Anolis sagrei: one gene and its partner. The protein of the gene in region 1 binds, or shares a complex with, the protein of each later gene. Links are inferred from orthologs where the notes say so. Each region holds a gene or a part of one and is shown on either strand. Other genes may lie near its edges.

The links.
Region 2: MED1 (region 1) and MED25 share a complex: the UniProt entries of both Homo sapiens proteins name them as parts of the mediator complex. The link is inferred for Anolis sagrei from reciprocal best matches to the Homo sapiens genes MED1 and MED25.

Annotation. Positions count from the first base shown.
Region 1 is NC_090026.1:43,431,479-43,438,936, reverse strand, and holds the start of MED1 (mediator of RNA polymerase II transcription subunit 1), read right to left. Parts: upstream 3,020-7,458; 5' UTR 2,862-3,019; coding exon 2,834-2,861; intron 1-2,833. Other genes in the region: CDK12 (cyclin-dependent kinase 12), read left to right, coding at 7,325-7,458. UniProt on the Homo sapiens protein: Component of the Mediator complex, a coactivator involved in the regulated transcription of nearly all RNA polymerase II-dependent genes.
Region 2 is NC_090026.1:28,837,416-28,844,906, reverse strand, and holds the start of MED25 (mediator of RNA polymerase II transcription subunit 25), read left to right. Parts: upstream 1-4,391; 5' UTR 4,392-4,525; intron 4,526-5,651; 5' UTR 5,652-5,663; coding exon 5,664-5,800; intron 5,801-7,178; coding exon 7,179-7,224; intron 7,225-7,491. Other genes in the region: FUZ (protein fuzzy homolog), read right to left, coding at 1-56, 1,219-1,323, 1,744-1,812, 2,304-2,388, 2,578-2,699, 4,042-4,143. UniProt on the Homo sapiens protein: Component of the Mediator complex, a coactivator involved in the regulated transcription of nearly all RNA polymerase II-dependent genes.

The DNA of each region.
Region 1 (7,458 bases):
TTGACTTCTGATTTGATTTAAATGTTCTAAGAATCTCTAGACCCTCCAATGTGACTCTGTGGTCAACTTCTTCCAATCATGGTGGAGGACCAAGCAATTTTTATACATTAAGATCTCTAGAAATTTTTGGGTTCCCTAACCCAATTGTATGATTACCTTCCAACAGAAGTTGCCCATAGAGTCATGTTGGAACACCTAGAAATTTCTAGAGGTGTTATCTGAAATAAACACAATTTCTTTATTTGCGCTTTTTTACTTTCATTGTAGTCCTGTGCCGCTTTCTGGGCAGAGCATGCTGAACTCACTGGTATAGCCTATGGATGTTTAGAAAAGCATGTTGATTGTTTGCTTGCTCACACCCCTTCTTCCTAAGTCCCATGCATACTACTTTTCTCCCCAGGAACAGCATGGGTTTGCCCACTCATCTTTTTTCATCGTGACCCCTCACTATGAAGCACATAGTGAGCAAGTGTTCCTGTATAATTACATTTATTTTTATGCCACTGTTCTTTCTTAACAGAGACTCAAAGAAGCTATGAATACTCTTGAAGTCAAACAGTCAAAGCTGATGACATGCTTGTTTTCCTGACACTTTCACCATACCTGAAAACGCTGAAACTATGTGTCAAGTATCCCTTTACACTTTAACTTAAGTTTGGTTCTTTTACCTGTGCTTGGGGGAGTGAGTGATATTTCTATTCTGGTTTCTACCTGAGTGTGCCATAATCTCTGCTACCAAATATCATACAGGGTGAGGCAGCATAACTTCCAAATCATTGCAAAGTCAGCTATTCAGTCTAAAGCAGGTATGGGCAAACTTGGGTTCTCCAGGTGTTTTCAACTTCCACAATTCTTAACAGCCAGTAAGTTGCTTGGGATTTCAAGTTCAAAACATCCAGAGGGCCGAAGTTTGCCCATGGCTGGTCTAAAGGAAGGGCCTTCTAACTATTCACAGAAACTAAATTACAGTACAGTACTCATTAAGCAGAGATCTAGTATGGAACAGCATCTGCAGAGGACCAAGTCAAGGTGGATACTAAAGGGAAAGGTGGATAGATTACAAGGCCCAAGCCAGACAGGGGAGAAATTCTTGATTTTTTTTATTTACGGCATTTATATGCCGCCCTTCTCACCTCGAAGGGGACTCAGAGTGGCTTACAATATATATTTTCATACAATATATTATATTATTAGCATAGTACAATATCAGTATTATATATTACTTTATTGCACTATACCATTATATTGTAATATTATTAGTGTAAATATATAATTATAATATCATATTATTATTACTAGTATTATATTGTATTACATTATAATATTATAAATATTATATGTATATACAATATACTATATTAGATTATTAGTAAAGACAAGATGGAAACGTCTTCTGCTCCCCTCTGTCTTCGCTCTGGCCAGAGCAGCCGTTGGGTCGTTGATGCAGTCTACTGGACCGGAAGTGGTAGCAAATACAGGGTGAGGCAACATAACTTCCTTTTTTAAAATGCGCGCCATTCAGGCGGTTGAAAACGTAGAGGAGCGCTAGGGGTCTTGTTCGAGAGGCGGGAGTATAAAGTTTTGTCCTGACACAGTTCAGTCGCCATCATGCGTTGGAACAGTGAGAAGCGTGCTTTTGCTGTTGAGGCCTACTTTTTGAGCGGATTTGGGAGTGGCTGGCCTCCTCTCCAGATTTGGCCCCTTGTTTATTTATCGAGCCATCAGCAACCAGGCAATTATATTACATTTCTAACAGAACAAAGCAAACAAACAAACAGACAAAATACAAAATTTGTGAATTTGGTAGTTGATTAAATGTCCTTTGACCAGTATCTGGCCACTTGGAGTGCTTCTGGTGTTGCTGCAAGAAGGTCCTCCATTGTGCATGTGGCAGGACTCAGGTTGCATTGGCCCCTTGTGATTTTTTTTATGGGGCTTTTTGAAATCCCGTGTTTATGTGAACTGTCCAAGGACCCTAAAAGATTTGAAGACCAACATCCAGGAAGAAACTGCCAACATAACGCCTGCTATGCTGGTAAGAGTCATGACAAATGCCAGAAATCGGTTTACTCAGTGTATGGAGAATGAGGGACGTCACCTGCCTAATTTGATCTTAAAAACTACGTAAAACAAAACTTTAGGTATGCGCCTACATTATATTAAAAATATTCTGATTCTTACAATGGGTTTTATTAAGTCTTGAAAAAGGGAAGTTATGCTGCCTCACTCTGTATAATGTTCACATCTACAGTTTCAGCTTTGTGGATCAATGCTACTCAGAGGACCAATTCACAAATGTGTCCATCCCTTAATGACTGACAGATGAATGCATGAACCAAGCTCCTGGGAAAAACAGGAGAGTCTTATTTGTAGTCTTATATGTGATTCAACTTCTGCTTGTACTTTTTATGACAGACAAGACATCGTATGAGGCAAAATATTGCAAAGTCAGTTGATAAAGCTTCAGTCTAAAGCAGGCATGGGCAAACTTGGGCCCTCCGGGTGTTTTGGACTTCAACTTCACAATTCCTAACCGCAGGGCGGGAGTTGAAGTCCAAAACACCCGGAGGGATTAAGTTTGCCCATGCCTGGATCATATAATTCGGTTCACGCTGCATTATATAATAGTGCAGATCAAGCCTCAAAAATCCGAGATTCCAAACACTTGTGGGGCGAACTCATTTGGGATATAAGATACTTCGCCTGTACGGCCCTGCACACCTGAGCTTTGCTCACACAAGGCTCTTTGTGGGGTTTCTGAACGCAGCCTTTATTGGGAGTGCTCCCACTTTGAGGCCTTGGTGTCACTCCCAGGCCGGCGTGACTCACTCACCCTCCGAGGCGCCCTGGGCGGCCTTCATCCTTCACCGGAGCGGCAGGCAGGGAAGGAGAGGGGCCCGGCGCCCCGCTCCGCCCTCCCTCATGCGGCGGGGAAGGAAGGCCCGTCTCCCGCTCGGAGGAGAAGACCCGAGGCGCGCGCAAGGCACCATCCCACTGGCGTCCGCGTGAGATTTCCAGCTCTCGCGGGATTTGGGAGGGGAAACCGGAGGTGGAGAGCAACAAGCGCGAGAGAAGCCGCGGCGCGTGGGAAGTCAGCCAATCTAGCGGCAGAAAGCACTTCTCGCGAGGCTTTCATTTCCACCTCCCTTGAAAAAAAAAAAATAAACAAACAAAACAGGTCACGCTCTTTCACCCATCAGGAAAACGTCCAATGCAATTCCTTCGCTTTAGACAAAGTCCAAAACACCCGGAGGACCGAAGTTTGCCCAAGCCTGGATCATATAATACAGTTCATGCTGCAATTTCCTGTACTTTACTAATAATCCAATATATTGTATATACATGTAATATATATTATAATGTAAAACAATATAATACTAATAATACAATTGGGTTGTTGTAGGTTTTTTCGGGCTATATGGCCATGTTTTAGAGGCATTCTCTCCTGACGTTTCGCCTGCATCTATGGCAAGCATCCTTAGAGGTACTGATGCTTGCCATAGATGCAGGCGAAACGTCAGGAGAGAATGCCTCTAGAACATGGCCATATAGCCCGAAAAAACCTACAACAACCCAGTGATTCTGGCCATGAAAGCCTTCGACAATACATTAATACAATATTATAATTATATATTTATATTACATGTAATATTACATGTAATATTACAATAGGTTGTTGTAGGTTTCACCTGCATCTATGGCAAGCATCCTCAGAGGTTGTGAGGTCTGTTGGAACTAGGAAAAAGGGGTTTATATATCTGTGGAATGACCAGGGTAGGACAAAGGACTCCTGTCTGCTGGAGCTAGGTGTAAATGTTTCAACTGATCACCTTGATTAGCATATAATGGCCTGACAGTGCCTGGAGCAAACCTTTGTTGAGAGGTGATTAGATGTCCTTGTTTGTTTCCTCTCCGTTGTTGTGCTGTTGTAATTTTAGAGTTTTTTTTAATACTGGTAGCCAGATTTTGTTCATTTTCATGGTTTCTCCTTTCTGTTGAAATTGTCCACATGCCTGTGTATTTCAATGGCTTCTCTGTGTAGTCTGACATCGTGATTGTGAGAGTGGTCCAGCATTTCTGTGTTCTCAAATAATATGCTGTGTCCAGGTTGGTTCATCAAGTGCTCTGCTATGGCTGACTTCGCAGGTTGAAGTATTCTGCAGTGCCTTTCATGTTACTTGATTCGTGTTTGGGAGCTGCTGCGTTTGGTGGTCCCTATGTAGACTTGTCCACAGCTGCATGGTACACGGTAGACTCCTGCAGAAGTGAAAAGATCCCTCTTGTCCTTTGCTGAACATAGCATTTGTTGGATTTTCTTGGTGGGTCTGTAGATACTTTGTAAGTTGTGTTTCCTCATCAGCTTCCCTATGCGGTCAGTGGTTCCCTTGATGTATGGCAGGAACACTTTTCCTCTGGGTGAATCTTCATCTTTACTCTTGTGGCTTGTTCTTGGTCTTGCAGCTCTTCTGATGTCTGAGGTGGAGTATCCATTGGCCTGTAGAGCCCAGTTGAGGTGGTTCAGTTCATCTTGAAGGAGGTGGGGTTCGCAGATTCCTTTTTCTTATATTACAATATAATGGTTGAGTTCTGTTTTATTGACTATTCTAAAGCTTTTGTGTCGATCATAATAAATTGTGGCAAGCTCTTGGTGGTATGGGGATACCAAATCACCTTATCTCTCTCCTGAGGAATCTGTATAATGACCAAGTAGCAACAGTAAGAACTGACCATGGAACAACAGACTGGTTCAAGATTGGGAAAGGTGTATGGCAGGGTTGTATACTCTCATCCAACCTATTCAACTTGTAGGCAGAACACATCATGCGATGTGCGGGGCTTGAGGAATGCAAGGCTGGGGTGAAAATTGCAGGAAGAAACATTAACAACCATAGATATGCAGATGATACCACTTTGATGGCCAAAAGCGAGGAGGAGCTGAGGAGACTTCTAATCAAGGTGAAAGAAGAAAGCGCAAATGCTGGGTTGCAGTTAAACATAAAAAAACCCCAAGATTATGGCAACAAGAATGATTGACAACTGGGAAACAGAGGGAGAAAACATGGAGGCAGTGACAGACTTTGTATTTTTAGGTGCAAAGATAACTGCAGAGTCTATGATTTCTACCAAGCCTGTGCAAATACTTCCGCTCTAAACACTAACAAAGATTACTGCAAAGCAGACTGCAGCCAGGAAATCAGGAGACACTTACTTTTTGGGAAGAGAGCAATGTCCAATCTCGATAAAATAGCGAAGAGTAGAGACATCCTACTGGCAACCAAGATCTGCATAGTTAAAGCAATGGTCTTCCCTTTAGTCACCTACGGATGTGAGAGCTGGATCATAGGGAAGGCTAAGCAAAGGAAGATAGATGCTTTTGAACTGTGGTGTTGGAGGAAAGTTCTGAGAGTGCCTTGGACAGTGAGAAGATCCAACCAGTCCATACTTCAGGAAATTCAGCCTTCCCTATGGTCCAGCTCTCACGTGCATAGGTGATTATGAGGAATACCATTGCTTTAACTATGCGGATCTTGGTTGCCAGTGTGATGTCTCTACTCTTCACTATTTTATCAAGATTGGACATTGCTCTCCTCCCAAGAAGTAAGCATCTCCTGATTTCCTGGCTGCAGTCTGCGTCTGCAGTTAATTTTTGCGCATAGAAATACAGTCTGCCATGACCTCGTTTTCTCCCTCTATTTTCCAGTTGTCAATCATTCTTGTTGCCATAATCTTGTTTTTTTTAATGTGTTATTGCAACCCAGCTTTTGCGCTTTCTTTTTTCACCTTGATTAGAAGTCTCCTCAGTTTCTCACTTTTTGCCATCAAAGCGGTATCATCTGCATATCTAAGTTTGTTAATGTTTCTTCCAGCCATTTTAACCCCAGCCTTGCATTCATCAAGCCCTGCACATCGCATGGTATATTCTACAGACATGTTATTACATTTTTGTGTGTACTTTTTATCATGACAGACAGGCCAATCTGTCACCACAAGAGGGAAAGCACTGCAAAGTCAGTGTTTTCCGTCTAAAGCAGGCATGGGCAAACTTGGACCCTCCGGGTATTTTGGACTTCCAATTCCCATTTTGCAACGAAACGTGGCAGCTTCCCTCTCCAACCAAGTCAGCGCCGAGCCTCTGCAATTGTCCCCATGCAGATAAAAGTTTTGTTCAAACGCTCGAACGAGTTCCCGTGAGATTTCGGCCCCGCGAGAGGTCAAACCCGTTTCGAGAAAGCGGAGGAGGTTTTCCGCTTTCCCTTCTCTTCCTGAGGGGCAGCGTCGCGAGACTCGGCTTGTGCGCCTGCGCGCCAGAAGGTAGGCAGGCAGGCAGGAAGGAGAGCAAGCTTGCGCGCGCTTGCTCTCGCGATATCTGGAGGAGCAGGTATAGAGAGAAGAGAGAGCGAGAAAGACGGAGCAGAAGAGCCCCCCGCGCGTTACTACAGGAAGCTTCGGCGAATTTTGTCCGTGTTCTCGCGAGAGTTGGCGGCTTACCTTCTCCCCTCCTCACTTTCCTCTCCCGCCCCTCCCCCCAACCTGGAAGCGGCGCCGTTTCGTGGAGGGAAGTAAGAGGGGGCGAGGAGGAGGAAAAGGAGGATGGGGGGCCCGGCGTGGGGGCCTTGCTAGGGACTCGGCCGGAGGGAGAGGCGGAGGGGGCTCCTCAGCAGGGGACTCGTGGCCCCCTCGAGGGCCCCCGGCGCCTCCGCGGCCAGCCAGGCCTCGGCACCACTCTCTCCTTTCCCTCAGAAACTTGGAAGCAGCAGCCTTGAAGGAGAAAGTGCAGCCAGCTGTGGCCTTCCTTCTCGTGAGGACTCAGGGCCTCGAGTTGGTAGCCGAGGGGGCGTTTCAGACCCTAGAGAAGCCATTATACCAATTCTTGGGGAGACCTACAGCTTAGAGGGGTCTGAAGTTGGAAGAGAAGGGGCCACTTCCAGGAACTTTCCCTCCTTTTAGACGGTTTGGAGGGATCCATCTCCAGGAGTAGTTGGGACCCATACATTGACCTTAGCATTTTGAGATTGGAATCTCCAGCTAAGGAAAGTTAGCTTCCTGTCATTGCCCACCCCATGCTTGATATCTAGGAGCAGGGCCATTGTAATATAAGTTGCCCCGCCCCTTTAAGGGTTCAAAGTTGAAGGTCTGTGTCTTAGGCAGTGGTTTGGGCTAGATCCCCTTCTAGCTCCAAACTCTGGTAAGACAACCGCATGCCGAAAAGAGCAAAGTGGCTGGATGTAGGAGAGAAGTGACGCAAGGGAAGGGGGTGGCTTTGACAATTAGGGTTGGGGGTTTTGGAGGAGTCCCCCCTCTTTTAGAGCCCAGTGGAGAAGGAATGCCAAACCCAGAGAGACATGGGGTCAAGAAGGAATCAGGAGGAGGAGCGCTCTTGCATCAAGAAGCCGTATCCAGCAGCGGGAGCTCAAACAACAAAGAGAGGCACAGGCTCTCCAAGCACAAGAGACACCG
Region 2 (7,491 bases), about 15 Mb from region 1:
ACAAGCAGGCAGCCAAAGCGTGACTCTGCTGCTGAAGCAAAGGCTTCTAGGCATTCCTGAATAGGGAACAAAGATAACAGCACAGAGGTTTATCTATATACTTGTACAAACTACCTACTTGCTAGAACTGCAATAGGTATCCATAGGTGGACACAGAAGGACACACGCCATGTTGCTATCTGTTCTGTGCCAGTGAATCCTTAAAATGAATTCATTTTTAACATCATAGAATTGGAGTTTCCAAGGATTACAAGGACCATCCAGTCAATCCCCTTGCCATGCAGGACAAATTATAAGAACGGATAATATGCCCTTCCTGCATGAGACCACCACCACCATGGAGTGTCCAGAGTTTGCCAGAATATCCACCAGAAAAATATATAAATATGTTCTGTGACATGATGCATTTAAAAAAATGGGGAAGCCTCCAGACGTCCACTGAATGTGGATCACCAGGTAAAAAAGACCAGCAACTATGTTTCCCTAAAGCAGGGGTCCTCAAACTATGGCCCGAGGGCCGAATACGGCCCTCCAAGGTCATTTACCCGGCCCTAGCTCAGGGTCAACCTAAGTCTGAAACAACTAGAAAGCACATAATAACAATAACAATCCTATCTCATCAACCAAAAGCAGGCCCACACTTCCCATTGAAATACTAATAAGATTATATTTGTTAAAATTGTTCTTCATTTTAATTATGGTATTGTTTTTAACTGTTTTTACACTACAAATAAGATATGTTCAGTGTGCGTAGGAATTCATTCATGTTTTTTTTCAAATTGTCATCCGGTCCTCCAACAGTTTGAGGGACTGTGACCTGGCCCTCTGTTTAAAAAGTTAGAGGACCCCTGCCCTAAAGCATAAAAAGTTGGGGGGCGGGGGGAGGAATGTATCAGCAACTGAAGCCCAACTGGTTTTTATTTTAGCATGAGCCTTGTGGGTATAAATCCAGTTCTTTAGATGCAGGCTAAGATAAAGTGGTATTAAAACCTCATCTATAAAGCATATTTATACAGCTTTGGGATAAATTTAATTTATCTTCCATTAATTTCATATATGTCCTCCTATGCCAACAATGCCACTCTGCACTTTAAGTTAGACAAACAGGTTACAATAGAGGGTAAACAAAGGGATTTTTCAAAGTCCCAAATATGGTGGTGTGGACGTTAGAAGTTATGCTGGAACCTGCAGATGACAGAAAGAAACAGGTCAACTTACCTGCAGTACTGCCCTGGAGGGTGTCACAGCACATTCCATACACTGAGTCAAGTCAGCACTGCATTTGCCTGGTTCCAGGAAACTGTCAATCAATTTATAACATGCCTGCAGGGTGGTACATTTCATATTTAAGCTACCAAGGTTTTGTTTTTTTTAAAACTATTTTCTGAACAACTTCCAAAAAGCATGTTTCAATGCATTTACTATTTACATCCTAATGCTATCTGCTTTTCTAATGTAGTTTCACATGCTTCAAGAAAACATTCTGGATCAGGCTGAAGGAAAAAGGCTCAAATCCAGGTGGTAGATATCAAAGATGCCTCTCTATCATCAGAATGTGAAGCAAAGATAGCAAAAGCAGGAGGTGCCATCAACTTGCCATACACCATGCAATAGAGCAATATCTAAATGCCCCTCTCCCCTGTTTTACTACAAAGTTCCCTAGATATTATATTCCTGAGTTCAGTTCTCAGAAATGTAAATTGCACCCACCCACCCCTCCTTCCACTCCACATCAAGTGTTACCTTCAGATCCTTTTTCAGACGTTCAATATTACGGGCATTTACCAGTTCCTCCAGACCTAATATCAGTACCTACAATAAAATGCATGTCAGAAAGATCCTGCTGGTCTACCATTTTAAAAAAAGCAGCCAGTTCCCGCAAAACTAAACATGTTTCCCCATCTAGATTTAGGAGTCTGAGCTGGCATCAAACACAAGTTCTTTGCAAATGGGTCTATTTTACTGTGAGAAACAGGCCACTTGAAAGTGGGGCCTTACCATCTCTTATGTCTCAGGTCTCTTATGTATGGTTTTATGTTACTTTACATTTTTACCATGGCCCATGTCACAATTAAAAACCCCTACTGATTCATGCAAACCAGTAGCATATACCTACACAACTTAGCATAACTTTAAAAGCCACAAAACACAGCTAAGTCAAACATGCCCCATGCCCTCCATCCCCCATTCACTGGTGATACTTGCTTCTCTCAAAATGGATTTATTCTTCCCAATAATTGACTGTGCCTTACAGTTCAGGAAGACATAGGCTGAAATGATATCCCATCCCTTCAACTACTCACCATGGCATTGAAGATATTCTCAAGGAGTCGCCCAAGGCTGAAGTCACTAGTACCTTCATCTGAGGACAAGACGATGAGCGTGATACTGAAAACAAACATACCACAAACCAAGGATAGGCATGCACAGTAGGCCACCAGAGCCTCAATTTCAAGTCTTTAAAAAGAAGGACAATCCTTCATTTCTAACAAATCCCACATAGATTCAGAAGACAATGATTGGTTGCTAGAGGTATGGCAATTCCAGAGGTAAAACCTGGCATGTATTCTTGCTCACCTGTTGTGAAATACTTTCCACATCACACGAGTATTCTCTGTACAGGCAGCTGTCAGCAGAACATCTAGGTTGGACCCAAACATGTGAACCCCATTTAGGGAGCCAATCACAGAGAATGGCAGCTAGGTTGGGGGAAGATGAATAAGGAAATATTAGCATAATACATATGGCTCGGATAGTGACAACTAATTCTAGAAGGATTATTAAGTTGGATCTGTAATGTAGAATACTTTTCTTATTTTCATCATAAGTGGTTGTATGTGTGTTAAAGCCATATTTTCTTTTAGATATGTATTTTTTCATTCCTTTATTCTCTGAATGTATTTTCTGAAGGTATAGAATTTTGATTTCAATTGAAATTTATATTGTTAGTGTATGTATATATTCGTGTATGTATATATAAATGACTGAACACAACTGGATTGCCTGGTGTACATCGTAAGTACCAAATGTGCTTTGGAGCTCCTTGCTGGTGACCACTAATTCTAGAAGGAATATTAAACTGGATCTGTAATGTAGAATATTACTTTTTTATTTTCATCATAGGTGGTTGTATTTGTGTTAAAGCCATATTTTCTTTTAGCTATACGTATTTTTTCATTCCTTTATTCTCTGAATGTATTTTCTGAAGGTATAGAATTTTGATTTCAATTGAAATTTATATTGTTAGTGTATGTATATATTCGTGTATGTATATATAAATGACTGAACACAACTGGATTGCCTGGTGTACATCGTAAGTACCAAATGTGCTTTGGAGCTCCTTGCTGGTGCCCGGATTAGCATCTTCAGAAAAGATTAAGGTGGTTTTGTTGTATTTCTGCAATGTACCTACAGATTTGTAAAGTTACAACATGCATATTCTGATGTAGAATCTCAGCTCATGTTTTAAACAACTGTGTATAAAGCTCAGGACTCTTGTCTGCTAGAGCTAGGTGTCCTTTGTCCCGCCCTGATCATTCCACAGATATATAAACCCTTTTTCCTAGTTCCAACAGACCTCACTACCTCTAAGGATGCTTGCCATAGATGCAGGCGAAACATCAGGAGAGAATGCCTCTAGACCATGGCCATATAGCTCAAAAAAACCTACAACAACCCAGTGATTCCGGCCATGAAAGCCTTCGACAATACTGTATTATTATTAATAATATTACATATAATATAAAATATAATTCTTATATTGTTTATTATTAGTATTATATTGGATTACATTATAATATCATGATTAATAATATATGTGTATACAATATATTATATTATTACCAGAGCACATCAGTAATATATTAACATCTGAATAAAACCCCACATTTTCTGCTCTGAACTGGAATATATGGCAGTGTGGACTCAGATAACCCAGTTCAAAGCAGCTATTGAGGGATTTTCTGCCTTGATATTCTGGGTTATATGGCTGTGTGGAAGGGCCCAAAGACAGTGTGAGAGAAGGAGACGCCACGGCCTCACCTGTGGCTTGGCAAGGCCTCCTCGGCTCCTACAGAAGAGGGGCACCCCACTGCTGGCGGTGAGGCACAGCAGCGTCACGGAGCCCCCCGCTTCCTCCCACATCGTGGCCCGGAAAGTATTCCTCCCTTTTGGTCCGCTTTCCCCTTTTTTCCCTATTCCTTTTCCTCAGCCTTTCCTCAAGGCCGCCATTTTGGGAATCCCGTTGCCATGGCAACAAGAGCCCCTCCTCGATTGGTTCTTTCCGTGCGTCCCCGGTGTTGCCGTGGCGACAGCAGCGCCTGCGTGATTGGTGGCTTCCTTTTCTTTTTTTCCCCGCCCACTTCACGTGACCCAGGCTCAGCTGCTCTCCCGCAGCAAGAGAGGGAAGAGAAATCTCCCCTCTCCGTTCGGTATTTGCGCATGCGCAATATAAAGCGGACCTGAAGGGGATCATTTCCGGTGGCTGGAAAACAAGGAAAGCTGAGCATCCGGATGTCAGCGTTGGGTATGCGCTTGAGGGAGTGGAGGAAGGAGGGGGATGTTTGAGGAGAAGAGGGGCAGAAGTGGAGAGGAGGAAGAAGAGCGGCCACAGCCCTACACCATGGGGTTGCTTCTTGATTTGTTGCTCCTTTTCTGGAGGCTTGTCTCTGTTCCATTGACACCAGGCGTGGGCAAACTTGGGCCTTCCTCCAGATGTTTTGGACTTCAACTCCCACCATTCCTAACAGCCTCAGGCCCTTTCCTTTTTTAAGTTTTTATGGTCCAAATGTTCCTTACTTGTGCAGGGCAGCCACACTTTCCAAAATTAAATCCATTTTGTAATTGTCTAATAAGCTGTTCTTTTAAAACCGCATTGAGTCGCCTGTTAAGGGCTGAAAAATGCAGTATAGAAATAAAGCAAATAAATAAATAAATAATATACCAAGCATAATATACCAAGGAGATTCCATCTGAACATGAGGAAGAACTTCCTGACTGTGAGAGCCGTTCAGCAGTGGAACTCTCTGCCCCGGAGTGTGGTGGAGGCTCCTTCTTTGGAAGCTTTTAAACAGAGGCTGGATGGCCATCTGTCAGGGGTGATTTGAATGCAATATTCCTGCTTCTTGGCAGGGGGTTGGACTGGATGGCCCATGAGGTCTCTTCCAACTCTGATTCTATGATAAATTATGATAAACCATTTCATGCATCATAAGATTTATATTCCTAAAGTAACAAAGTGACTTTCAATTTGTAAAGAAGGTAATAGTTTTTCAGTTTTCCAGAAAATATGCCCCTATCCCTATAGCTTCTGTTTCGTTTTGCTTCTAGTTAAATTTGCAATTTTAGATTTCTAACAAAACAATTGTTTGATTATGGTCCATCTCTGTTCCAGACATCATTCCGTCCTTCTCTTATCTACAAGTCCACCTTTTTTTTGACCTGCTTATATTCCTGTTATTCATTTGTTAGTTCCTTCCTTTCTTTATCTCTCACTTGTTTACATTTGACTAGAACCCAGATGAGTCTTGTGTTTTTATAGAGTACTGAATGTTCATTGTGGTACGGATTTAAAGTTAAATAGTTACAGATTGTTGGGCTTGCCTCTTGTTACTAATTTGTCACACTGCTGCTGTTGTATAACCATATCTCAGTAGTTGGAGGAGATGGTGGTACCAACGCTGGATATGCCTGCTCAGCCTATGGGGATGGTTGCTGATGTAGTCTTCGTCATTGAGGGCACTGCCAACCTTGGGCCCTACTTTGAGTCCCTGCGAAAGCATTACCTTCTACCTGCCATTGAGTGAGTGTTCTTGGCATCCTGAGATGCAGCTGTGCTCTTGTTTGCTTTGTTGCTTAGAAAGACACAATTATGGGAAGGAGAATGCTGAGAAAGTATTTCCTTTGAGGGAAAAATCCAGTTATAGTATTGATTACTATGTTCTGACTATTCGATGATGTACTGTCCCAATAAAATCTTATATAGGCAATCCCTGAGTTACAAACATATCACTTACAAATTACTCATAGTTAAGAACGGGGGTGAGACAACAGGAAGTGAGAGAAATCTGCCCCTCAGAAGGGACATTCACTCTCGAAAGAGTCATCATAGGGAAAATGGGTCTCCACTAAAGACCAAAGACATCTGGAGGGTAGATGTAGAATTTCCATAAGAATTTGCAGACTTGGGTTTTGTTTTTGTTTTTTACTAAATTCTTGGGGTTTAATGATCAAAGAGTTTTGCAAAGTACTGGATGAAGGGGTTGGACTTGTGCTAGGAACTAAGAATATAAGTGAATAGGTAAAGAACATGATGACTAAGCATATGATTAGCTGTAGAATTTTTGGTCAACATAAGAATCAAACATACCAATCTTTTCACACAAAAATGTACACCAAGTTCCCCGGAAGTATTTGTATTACAATTGAATTCAGTACAGAAATACCTTTTAATTGTTACTTTTGAATGGGAACCTTTGTTGTTTCAGGCAAATTAAAAATCAACCTGTATATGACTGGTGTATCTTGTGTCTATGCCTGACCTAGAGTCAACTCTACTGAATGTTGTTTCATCTTCTGAATAAAAATGCATATGCATTCAATGTTTAGCATGTGCAGTACTTGGAAGTAGGCTCAACTGAAATAAATGAGTTTTACTTCAGAATTATTATCATTACCACCTGCCTCTCCATACAGTTTGAGGTGCAGAGTAACAGATTAAAATAAAGACATAGATACAAAACATAATTTCCAATTAAAATCCATAATTAGTTGATTGCTTAGTCTTAAAAGTAATATATTAATCCAAAGATTTCTCAATTGAAGAAATATCTGCAAATACACATGGTTACTAATACTGCAGATTGCAAATATGGAGTCCCGGGATATTAAAAATAAAGTTAACTGAAGAGAGAATATACATACAGGATTAAACTAGACATGATAAATTGACTCATATGTTTATGTGATCCAGCGTAGGGGCAAACAAAATATGAACACAGCAGATGTGTTTACAATTCTTAATTTGGGAAATAAGCAAGTAATGTACATGGTGGCTAACTCAATTGGAATGGAAATCATGAAAAGTAATCCTGTCATTTCATTACTTCTATTTAGTGTTGTGTTCAATGTCAAGCAACCCTCACTTTCAGTCAACTGATTTTTTTTTGTTTTACTTCTAGATATTTTAATGGTGGTCCTCCAGCTGAAACAGACTTTGGAGGAGATGTACGTATAGGAATATGCTTTTGAAGTTTTTGAAATGAGGGAATTGAGTGGGCTTTGGAGACATCCTCTCTTTGAGTATGCCTAGTTTTTGCTTCTGAGCATTGCATGGGCTGAGAAGCCATTTAATAATAATAATAATAATAATAATAATAATAATAAGTGCATGAACTCTAGCTCTGTTAAAAATTCTTTTTTTGGGGGGTCACTTATTGCTTTGTGGTTTTTAATATTTTTGTGAATAAAATTGCTTCACTGCTTTCATCCATA